Daphnia pulex: one gene and its partners. Each later gene encodes a partner of the first gene's protein in a complex. Links are inferred from orthologs where the notes say so. Each region holds a gene or a part of one and is shown on either strand. Other genes may lie near its edges. The genes, in order: integrator complex subunit 1-like, integrator complex subunit 9-like and integrator complex subunit 12-like.

Region 1 (3,754 bases):
AACTAAGAGTGGATTTTTTACCCGCCTAAAGAAAGAATTTTAAAAATATCTATATTGAATCAATGGCAGTTATTGTTTAAATATTTGTCATACCTTATTTCTTTTGTAGGAGATTTTGGTTTTGAACGGTTCGTCTTTTTGCTATTTTTTGTCGGAGTCAAGTCCCACTTGGTAGGTGCCACACTAGCAATTACTTCTTCTGTGGATACAGCAGGGACTTCTGCTTCATAAACAATGTCACCCATAGAAAAGTGAAAGGTTGGTTCTTCGTTTGTAACTTCCACTTCATTGATGAACTGAGGAGGTGATGGGGTATTGGAAATGTGAACTGAGGAACTTGTAATAAGTTCTGGATGTGATTTAATGTAACTTTTCACTTGAAGAGTAGTCTTGGTTCCAACTGCTCTAGCAACCTTGCTCCAATTTTGATTGTGTAGACCCTTTAATAAAAGTATCAAGTAAGTTACACAGTCCTGCCATAATCAGTAACCACTCCGACACTTACAATTCCTTTACGAAGAGATGCAACATCATCTTTAGTCCACATAGGACTCACTTTTGAAGCAACTACAGCAGATGTTGTGGTTGATGGAGGGTTTGCCATGGGTAAACTGTTTGAAAAGTGTTTTTTCTCTTCATGGAGCATATTCTCCCAATTAAGTGTTTTGTTCTTATCTTCATTGGCATGATCCATCATTGGCATATTCCAAACCTGTGAGAAAGTTAGATCTTGCTGTACCCAAATATAAACCACTTTGAATAAAAATTTACTTGTGAACTTTCAAGAAGCCAAGGATGTTGCATATAATCGCCCAATAATTCCGAATTCTGTGTAGGAAACTCCCCGGCATCGTATTGGTTCAAATCCGTCCTGTGATCAAATGTCAGTTAGTACAAATAACATGCAAACAAAAGCTTGTACATACTCAAGATTTAGACAGAAATCCCCTAGAACATCAACTTCATCGTCGTCTTCCATTTTTCTTAACGAATGTGTTTTCACAACAAGCTTGATGCCTCTATCACTAATTATATGCCAATTTGCTGCAGACGACGTGTTGAGGGGGGGGGGAGGAAAATGTCGTATGCGATTCGCTTTACAAACAGAAATGCAACCACGCTTTCTTGCAGAAGACACTCGCAGACTCGGCTCAACCAAAAACAAAATCAGTTTCGAAGAGGTGTTAATGCTGGACGGTAGTTATAATGGATCGGGGCAAGAATTTGCCGCCTAAAAACTCCAAGTCAAAACCCCTTGGATTCTCTGGTGATTTTATTGCTCTTGGACCAAAGCAAAGTCGAGCAGAACCAGTTGATGCAAAGAAATCAGGATCTTCTTCAGGTGGTCCATCAAAACCCACTCCTGCTCCACTTCCTTCTTTGGGTAAAATGAGAACAAAAATATTTCTATTTCCATTCTTTCTTTCCCTGGTCCTGACCCTGACCAATAACTTGCTTATCATATCCTTTTATAAATTAAGTTTGAACATGGATTATAAAATTTTAAACTTATCCACATTCCTGTTTAACAATCTCTTTTAACTCGGTTCAGCTACTATTATTATTTATTCTTTCAGTCTGTACATTAGCCTTAAAGAATGATATGTTTCATGACTGTGTAGGTCCTTCAGATAAAAAGCGGGAAGCACCAAGCCAGCTGCCAGGTTCATCTCAAAATCCAGCTAAGAAAGCAAAGCCTGGGCTCCCAAATACTGCATCCTTTACTGCATTGGGAAGACCTGCTTTGAAGGCTGCTGATCCTCCCAGTCCAGGTTCGACTGGTAACAGACTAGAGCCATGGGAAGAAGCTGCTATAGAGGTAGAGTTACTCAATCTTCTGGATTTTATCAATTTATCTTTAAATAATGTTTCTTTATAAAAATTTATTCAAGATTGAAGCATCAGAGTTGTTGAATGCTATTGGAGAGGCTGAAAGTAATGATGATGAAGAAAGAATTGAAGCAATCCTATGTGGATCAGTTAAGCAACTGAAAGCCTTTAGTCTGAGTCAACGGAATAAAGTGGAACCCATTCTTGCACTAGCCCTTGTCTACTTAGCTAAATGGAGATCGCAATATTTCAACACCGAATTGATTGTTGAAGCTTTATTGGTATTACTCAAACGAGACGTTACCGCCAGTATTGGTCCTTTTAAAGGAAGGACAACTGCTTCTGCAGCTTCACTGGCTTGCAATTTGTTGTTAGCCGGTCTAGAAGATTCAACGGAATGGCCAGAATCTTTCTTGAAAGTTTTTGTCGAAGATTCCGTTGGAGAACGAGTTTGGGTAGATCGCGAAGAATGTCAAGGGTTTGTCGAGAATATCCTAACGGCATTCAACACCAAAGTCCCTTCAAGGAACATCCTTCAACAAGAAAGTGCTACTGGCACTGGACTTGGATCTTCTGGTGCTGCTAGTTCTCCTAGTATAACTTCTCTTGGCACCACTGGTCTTGAAGATGATGCCAGCGTGGATTCAGATAACAGTCAGGGTGGGCTGCTTCGAGGTTCAACTCATCTCGATCAGCAACAGGTAACAAGTGGGATTTAAATTATGCACATAGTTGTATTTTCATTGTTACCTTTTTCTTAGGTTCGAGTTATTCCTCGATTTCAACATCTCAAAGACATGGCAGAAGCACTTGTCATGGAAATAGTAAATCAACATTTAAGCAGGTATTAAAATATTTGAGTTGCATTAAGGTTAGGGTAATATAATCAATGGTTTCTCAGACGGCAGCAACCGGCATCTGACCTCACTACAAGGAACTTCTTAAAGTTTTTGACATCAACAGCTGGTTTGCCCGCTGTAAGAACTCAAGCTGCCCAGCGATTGGAAATGTGGCTTTCCAATCAAAAACTTGTGAGACCAGCCACCGACCTCCTCCTCTCGATCTGCGTCAATTGCAGTACCGAAGCTCCTACAGACACAGATGTTCTAAATGCTCTTCTACGTTTGAGATTAAAGGTAGTAATAACGTCAATGTTTTTGTTTTAATTTCAGAACAAAAATAGTAATACTTTCTTCTTTTGATTTTCAGAGTAAACCGCTGCTCCAGACATATCTAACTTGTTTTAAAGAATTGGTCGAGCAGCAGGTGGACCAGCTTCCACTCATTGTGCGGTTGTTAATATTCAATGAGCTCTCCCCTTCTCGAGGACCGAATAACATGGCAGTACTGGCTGTTTTGGTCCAACCGTGGCCTGATCGTGCTGCCACAATTTTAGCGGACGTTTTTATGGAACTTCTACTCAATCGTGACGATTACCTTCGGGCACTCAGGTATTTTGCATTTGCAATTCACAGACGTGGACTGGGTATAATTAATGTTATATGTTTTTAGAGCACTATTACGTGAAGTGGTTCGCGCTCTCCGCCACGACTTACCTTTACCGACATTTTGTGCAGCTCTTTTACACGGTTGTATGCAAGAGAGACGCAAAGTTGCAATCAGAGAATTCGAATTCAAGGTTCGGTAGTATTTAAAAAAAACCATGTTAGTAGCAATACGAAATAATATAATGACTTTTGATACCAGGATCGGCTTTTGAATTCATTGGCAGACTTGACGACTTTATGCATTTTCCTTGCCATAAGTCCAGGTGTGCGTGAATCAGCATCTTTGGTCGCCCGTGGAGATTTGAGAGAGATGGAACTTTTCCGACAGTTTCACGTCCAAGCATCGGCCGTCCAAAGAGAATCGATCAGCTGGTTAAGAACGTCCATCCCGTCCGTGTTTGAGCCCAATCGGGTCG
Region 2 (3,754 bases), on another chromosome or scaffold:
GGATGGGTTCGAGACGAGAGGCCAGGGCCGGATCAAGATGCACTTTTTCCTGCTTCCTCTTAATTGGTAACTGTAACACCTGGTAGGACTTCATACCCAATGCTGGTGGATCCAATTCTAAAAAAAAAGAAAGAATAAGGTTAACTGACTGGCCAACTAGATCCAGTTCAACAGGAATCGATCGAAGACTTACCCTGAATAACCAAGTCTGATCTTAAGGGAGCCGACACTGGCGGGTGGAGGTAAACGTCTGGAACGAGTAAGTTTCCTGGCTTGAGATCGCGTATCAGTTTATTGGCTTGAGTGAAGCTCAAACTCGTGTCAATGGGACAGTGAACGATTTTCATGGTCAGTGGTTGATAGGGGGCCAGCGCTTCCAGGTAAGGGAAATCGGGTTCAACGAAGACGATACTGTGGTTGCTATGACTGCCCCATAACTCTATGAAGTGAACTACATTGCCAAAACGAAGGGAAGGATGACCGCAAAATACGACACATGGCTGTCTGTACTCGTTGGTGAATCCTTCGGCATGCAGGCTTGGGAAGTGTTTCAGTCGACCATTTTTGATGAGATGGGCGTGAGGAAATGGTTCTTCTGGGAGATAAACTTTGCTCTGCTTGCCTGAAGATAACCTATATGAAATGAGGATGATAAGTTGACTAAACATTTTCGGAAAAATAATAAATGTGACAAGCCGAACCATTCAGCGAAGATGTTGGAATAAGCCAAGGAAGTTTCGGCCACGGGAGAGAAGAAAAACAGCGGAATCTGACTAAGACCAATATTGTCTAAATGAACTGAGAGACATTCGAACAGATCGTAAAGAAGGCCGGAAGGGTGACATGGGACTAGGCAAGATCCGCCCGATCGTAACGTGGATGCTGCAAAAGGTTTAAGGAAACATTGTTAGTTTTTTTCTAATGTAATTTAATAGAATTTTACTATTTGAATTACCAACTGCCATGCAGAATTCGCCCAACATTGAATCTGGATTGGCCACGGGGGTCTGAGTCAACGCTGTCAAGATCAAGAGATCGGCATTTCTAAGGGCAACTTGATCCATCGGCCTGTATATGGAAAAAATGGTATAAAATTAATTTGTTAAAAAAGTAACACTAATTAAGCTTATAGAACCTTGGGTGGGTCGTGAGAGTAGATGAAGCGCTCACGTACGCAATCTTCTCATAGCCGGAATGAATGATCCAATTGCAACTACCAAGGGAATATCCAGAACTGACGGCCATCACAGTTAAAGCACCACAGATATCCTAAAAGTTGTCGGTTAATATTGTTTCATAAGAATTTTTTAAAAATCCGAAAAAGGACGTACAATTTTTTCGTTGAAGCCAACCATGCGAACTTTTGCCAGGGCTGCATTGATGGCTTTTGTGGAATAGACTTTCTTCCAATCATTTGGTCTCAGAGCCCCACTGAGAGGAGGAGGAAGAGACTGGAGTACTTGCTTCCATCTGTTTGCTCGCTGATTTTTGGGAGTCCTTTCCAAGTAGTTGACCAGTTCTTCCATGTAGAGCCTACGACAAAGAATACAATATAGTCTCAATATTGTGTGACAACAATTGCAGGTTGCATACCTTCCAATCTGCAAGGTGGGTTCAGTTGCATATACCCTCCCTTTAAAGCCAGTTTCTTCAGTGATGAATGGCAGGGCCAGCATGCAGGCATGATTCGATAGCAAGATGGTATCCACATCAGAGATGTCAAAAATGTCTGACTGAGGGGGCAGTATCTCTATTGGGCCATCCACCAACACTCGATTTTCACATTCTTTCAGTTCCTATACAGGATAAATGAACATTTGAAATGACACGAAGATAGAGAAGAGATCAAATCTAACTCACTCCATCAAGAAGTGCAGCATCCTGTGTGTCTCTCGGGATCCAGTTTGGTAAATTTGAGAGCCTTTTGCTGGCAACGAGAGGCAGAGGTAGAAAATGAAGGGCCGAGTTGATATCCAGCCCACAATCGAGCATCAGCGAAACGCCTTTGAAATTCAAGATGTTGCAGGGTTTATTTGGGTTGGCGCCCAGACTGTACTATGTAAACAGAAACTGTGTTTATCAGACCGCTCCATTTCGGTGAAAGGAAAATATTAAAATGCTTACGATTTTCATGTTGTGGGCGCGTTTTATCTGAAAAGTGACAAGAAAGAATTTTTATTTCAAACTCGGTATATGACAGACAGATCCAGACTTGTTTGTTTGTCCGGTTCGTACTTACTACACGAGCTGCTAGCAGACTAACATTTGAAAACCCAATGCAGCGTTGTCATTTTTCAACTTGAAAAGATAGGTTCATTTTATTTTATTATTTTATTTTTTTAAATAAGAGCGCCGGAACGCGAAAGAAATAAATCTAGAATAAAAATTGAAATCTGAATCACATATTCGCTTTTGAGAATGTGTATTGAATAACGCCATCGGATACGCAACAAACAAGCGAAACAAAAGAAGCTACAAAGTTACACACATTTTGTCAATGATTAAGAACGAAAGAATATTATATCACTCTATACAGTTTTGTTGGTTGTCAAAAAAAAAAAATTCGTCCATTTCGTCGATTGTGTTGCAAGACACGCCCTTATCAGTTCTCCGTCCAGTAGGGTGTTCAACTAAATCTTGGTGCAACCAAGAAAAAGGAACTTTCCAAAAAATCTAACCGGACTGGTGAATGATAAGGCCAAGTCATTGAACCATTTTCTCCACAGCGAGAGATGATACGTGATGCTCCTTCAGCTTCCGGTGTCGAAATGCCTCCTATATATATTTGATGCCCCTGCAACAACAGAAGAAAAAAAACACACACACAATAAAAAGAATCCAATAAGCAAGACCCAAGCAAGAAAATGAAGAAAACAACATGGTCGATGATCGGCTTGGCCTCTGTGTTTGGTCGGGAGTCTGCTGTGTGTCTGTGTGAGAAGAGAGAAATAAGAGCAGACACGGTTACTAAGGGGGAGAGAAAGGGAAATGAAATACGATGGGGGGGAACACAACACACACATCACAAATGGGTGTCGGAGACGACCAACGACTATACCCAAAGAGGGGAGAGCATTTTTCCTCTGTATATATATATATATACGTGAGCAAAAAGGAGAGAGTGAACGGTCTTTTACAAAATGGGAAACATCTGCCCGGCTGCTGGCCCTTTTCCCATATCAAAAAGGAAAGAAAAGAATGAAAAAGAGAAGCTTTTGTGTGTGTGTTTGATATATACCATGGGGTAGGTGGTAGTAGTAGTACAGTAGTGTAGTTGGGAAATCAAAAGAGCTCAGGGGCCTCCCCCCTTATTCACCAGAAATGAAAAAAGAGAAAAAAATGTCGATACTCTGCTGGGTCGGTTGAGTGATCTATCGAGAGAAGAAGAAAAATGTGTGTTCCAACACACGATAGCTGCTGCTGCTAAAGGCTCTTACAAGAAATTGAAGCCGGAGCAATGTGAGATGTGTCTCTCAACACTCGAAGAGAGAAAGAAGAGGAAGCAGCAGCAGCTTGCTTACGACGTGTTTGTTGTGTGTGACCTCGTCTGACCGTTTTAACCATCAACGGATAGAAGGGAGGGGAGAGAGAGAGTTCAAAGTCTTTTTTTTTCTATTCAAAATATATATAATTTTTCTTCCCCCCCCCCTCTCGCTGTGTGTTAAGAATTTATTTTACAGCCGGTTCAAAAGGTTATAAGCGATAATGCAGCTGGCGCTCGGGAGTGTCTAGGCAACAACATTGGGCATGTCTG
Region 3 (3,190 bases), on another chromosome or scaffold:
ATGTAGAGAAAAAGGCAGTAGAGGAGTTAATCTTCATGATCATCATCTGTCAGGAATCAGTCATTTAATTGAGAGAGAGAATAAGGACATTGGCAATATGAGAGACTTTCTAAATCGAGGATGCAGGATGCATCACTGATTCTCTCATTTCTAAACAATCTTCCTTTTTTTTCTTTACCGTCTGGCTGGGGGGTTTTACTTGAAACCTAAATTTAGAAGCTAGAAGTTATCTGGTGGTTGCAGCCAACACAAACAAACAGCAATTTCCTGAGAAATTCACACCAACTTCTGGCTGATGAAGGAATGAAACAAATGACCTGTTAGAGATTAAAAAGGAATTTAAATGATTTACCTGTTCCTGTCGGCTGGCTCAAATGTAGACATGGCAGCAAGCGAAATGGGGTGGAAGCTTGCACAATCCAAGAATTTGTTCGTCAATTAGAAAATCCCCTCACACCCTTTTGTGAGGTGACTAAATGTCTTTTATCTCGACTTGAAAACAATCGACAACCGTGTCCAACAGGCCTCACATCCTCACTGAACCTCATACAGCACATATAACATCACTTTGATATGTAATCATCACAGGAGACGTGATATAACTAGTAACCTTTCGATCGTTCAAACGGATTCTATAATCACCAAATCAACTACACATCTCCTTTTCGTTGTGAGGTAATCACAGAGAGAAGAACAACGGCTATCTTGATCCTAAAAATTTGTGTTAAAAAATAACTCGTCGAAAGCTAAAACCAAACCAGCAACAGCGAGTCCGTCTGTGCAGAAGCAGAATATGAATGTCTTTCTGGCTAGACTCACAAATCTATCTAAGCCGTCGTTAGCAAACTACCGCTAGGTGTCATCGCTGAGTCTTATCGCTATTTATAGAATTCTTGATAAAACTCCGAATTTCTTTCTTTTTTAAAAATAAGACATCACATTGCGCGCTAATTAAATTTGGTGTCAAAATTTGCATACTTTTTGTTCATTAATAAAAAGAAAGTGTTGAAAATAAAATTGCACAATTTATTGAATCTGCCACCAGAGGGCCATTTCCTTCTTCACATTTATTTTGAAGTTGATGTTGATTCGGACAGAAGTGCTGTCGTGAATGGTTTGCTTTGAAAATAGCTCCAAGAACTCATTACAAATATTTACTATTATTAATATTTTAAATTCTAAGTTTGATAATGGATGGTCTTATTGAACCATATTTAATTAAAGCTATCAGTCTTTTGCATTCTAGTGCTAAAGATTCTGGTGACCAATTGAAATCTATGTTGGATGAAGCCATAAGATTAAAGAATGAAACCAACTCTTCTGTCAGCAAGTTGCCACCACCTTTGACGATGATCAAAAGGGTAATATATTTTTACTTTTTTTATGCTGTTGTGATTAAATCTCTTGCATTACAGGAAACAAAGAAGAAAAGTGACTTCTTCATTGATGAAGATGTTCCTCTCAGTAAAAGAAGGAAGGAATCTCCTCGATCTTCACAACCTTCATCTCCATCTTCTAGGTATGTATCCACAGTTTTGGATAAACTTTATACTAGTTAACTAAGTCTTGTATTACAGTGTTCTTGAGAAAAACAAGGAATCTAAGCGAAAACATGATAACATGTTCAATGATGATGAAGTTGTTCCAAAGAAATTCAAAGATTCCCCTCGTTCTTCACAGCCTGGCTCACCAGCTGGGAGGTGTTTTCCATTTGATTTCTTATTTATTAATTTTATTTTTAAAATTATATTTTCCTAGTTCACCACGAAATTCGAGATCTCCAAGTGTGGCTCGAAAAAGCGACGACCTCGATTCTTTGAATGACGCCGATGACTTGGCTCAGGAAATTATGGATCTTCACTGTGTTATTTGCACGTAAGTCTTATTGTTTGTTATAGTGATAAAAATATTCAAACTTTTTCCTCTCTCTACGTAACAGTGGCCTGGATGTTACTTCTGGAAATCAGCTCGTAGAGTGCCAAGAATGTCACGGCCTTTATCACCAGGAATGCCACCAACCGAATATTAGCGACGCCGAAGTTAACGATCCTCGATCCGTCTTTTTCTGTTCCGATTGTAGCAAGTCAATGAAAAAGACCGCTAGTCGACCTAAATCAAGTAGCAGTAGGGAAAGTCCCATCACTTTCTATAAAAGTCGATCTGACTCTCCGAGTTCCGTGAGTGGCAAAAGCTCAGCCGGCCTGGTAGTTAACTTCAGCAAACAGCAAACCTTGCCCCAGAAGCCAAATGGCGGCAGCGGTGCTTCAAGTAAGTCAACAAGCTCATCGAGCAGCAGTAGCAATTCTTCATCTGGAAATACTATTGGCAACACATCCCTCATTAACGCCGATAAACGACTGCAGAACATTAAGAAACGGGCTGCCACAAAATTGCAAGAAAAACGGAAACCTGGAAAATAGTCGGTTGTATATTAAACAGGCACCATCTTTCCGTGTTGTTTATTTCGGATTCCATTCTCTTATACAATTTCGCAAAAATTATTTTTTATTTTTGGCTTTTTTTAAGTCGAATCCTTGGATAAATTGCCTGTTAGAAAAAAGATAAAATTTTGTAAAGTTAATATTTATTTCTATTATTTTATTATTTAGTTTTAAAAAAATTACTTGGGAATTCCGTATTCATCGATGAGCAAATTTCCGACAAAACTAATTTGGTTACCCTGTACCAACACCAATTGACCCTTTTTAGCTGGAGAGCTGGTTATTGTTGTGCTAGCCGCCACGCCTACTTGGCACCTATTCAAACAGACAAGAGAAATTCGCTTACTTTTAAGAGACCCCTTCACCTAAAGAATGTGAGACCATTGGTACCTTCGAGCAAATTCGTCCAAGTCGATCCTGTACGTCTCAAGGCCACTGATGAGGGTGACCTTCTTGTTGCCAGCTCTCGATGCCGTGGTAATCTCGACTGGCTCCAACTCTCCTTTCACGATGACGGGAGCCGACTGGTTTGGGAAGATCATTTCATAAACTGTTGAAAGTTTAGCTTGACAGCGGCTCATTAGCTCTTCCCAGCTAAGCGAAGCTGCTACTTCGCCTTTTTTTAACATGACGTCACTCAAAATGGGATCCAACGTCACCTGACTGCACGAGCAATTGTGATAAATTTAGTTTCTACAACATTTTAGAAAGAAAGAAATCTATCTATTTAAACCTAGGATTGGTCGCAT

What was found.
Region 2: integrator complex subunit 1-like (region 1) and integrator complex subunit 9-like share a complex: the UniProt entries of both Homo sapiens proteins name them as parts of the integrator complex. The link is inferred for Daphnia pulex from reciprocal best matches to the Homo sapiens genes INTS1 and INTS9.
Region 3: integrator complex subunit 1-like (region 1) and integrator complex subunit 12-like share a complex: the UniProt entries of both Homo sapiens proteins name them as parts of the integrator complex. The link is inferred for Daphnia pulex from reciprocal best matches to the Homo sapiens genes INTS1 and INTS12.

Annotation. Positions count from the first base shown.
Region 1 is NC_060019.1:12,571,931-12,575,684, reverse strand, and holds the start of integrator complex subunit 1-like, read left to right. Parts: upstream 1-1,136; 5' UTR 1,137-1,206; coding exon 1,207-1,384; intron 1,385-1,622; coding exon 1,623-1,819; intron 1,820-1,892; coding exon 1,893-2,531; intron 2,532-2,591; coding exon 2,592-2,674; intron 2,675-2,731; coding exon 2,732-2,966; intron 2,967-3,039; coding exon 3,040-3,281; intron 3,282-3,342; coding exon 3,343-3,469; intron 3,470-3,537; coding exon 3,538-3,754. Other genes in the region: histone H2A deubiquitinase MYSM1-like, read right to left, coding at 1-25, 94-440, 506-712, 772-871, 927-979. UniProt on the Homo sapiens protein: Component of the integrator complex, a multiprotein complex that terminates RNA polymerase II (Pol II) transcription in the promoter-proximal region of genes.
Region 2 is NC_060027.1:3,457,607-3,461,360, forward strand, and holds the start of integrator complex subunit 9-like, read right to left. Parts: upstream 2,272-3,754; 5' UTR 2,134-2,271; coding exon 2,125-2,133; intron 2,056-2,124; coding exon 1,861-2,055; intron 1,797-1,860; coding exon 1,594-1,796; intron 1,534-1,593; coding exon 1,332-1,533; exon of another isoform or gene 1,270-1,331; coding exon 1,136-1,269; exon of another isoform or gene 1,069-1,135; coding exon 956-1,068; intron 892-955; exon of another isoform or gene 883-891; coding exon 702-882; intron 634-701; coding exon 194-633; intron 118-193; coding exon 1-117. UniProt on the Homo sapiens protein: Component of the integrator complex, a multiprotein complex that terminates RNA polymerase II (Pol II) transcription in the promoter-proximal region of genes.
Region 3 is NC_060026.1:13,198,482-13,201,671, reverse strand, and holds integrator complex subunit 12-like, read left to right. Parts: upstream 1-1,068; 5' UTR 1,069-1,190; coding exon 1,191-1,361; intron 1,362-1,415; coding exon 1,416-1,519; intron 1,520-1,577; coding exon 1,578-1,700; intron 1,701-1,758; coding exon 1,759-1,875; intron 1,876-1,939; coding exon 1,940-2,420; 3' UTR 2,421-2,498; coding exon of another isoform or gene 2,499-2,547; 3' UTR 2,548-2,581; downstream 2,582-3,190. Other genes in the region: adapter molecule Crk-like, read right to left, coding at 353-384; eukaryotic translation initiation factor 2D-like, read right to left, coding at 2,499-2,547, 2,625-2,756, 2,832-3,104, 3,175-3,190. UniProt on the Homo sapiens protein: Component of the integrator complex, a multiprotein complex that terminates RNA polymerase II (Pol II) transcription in the promoter-proximal region of genes.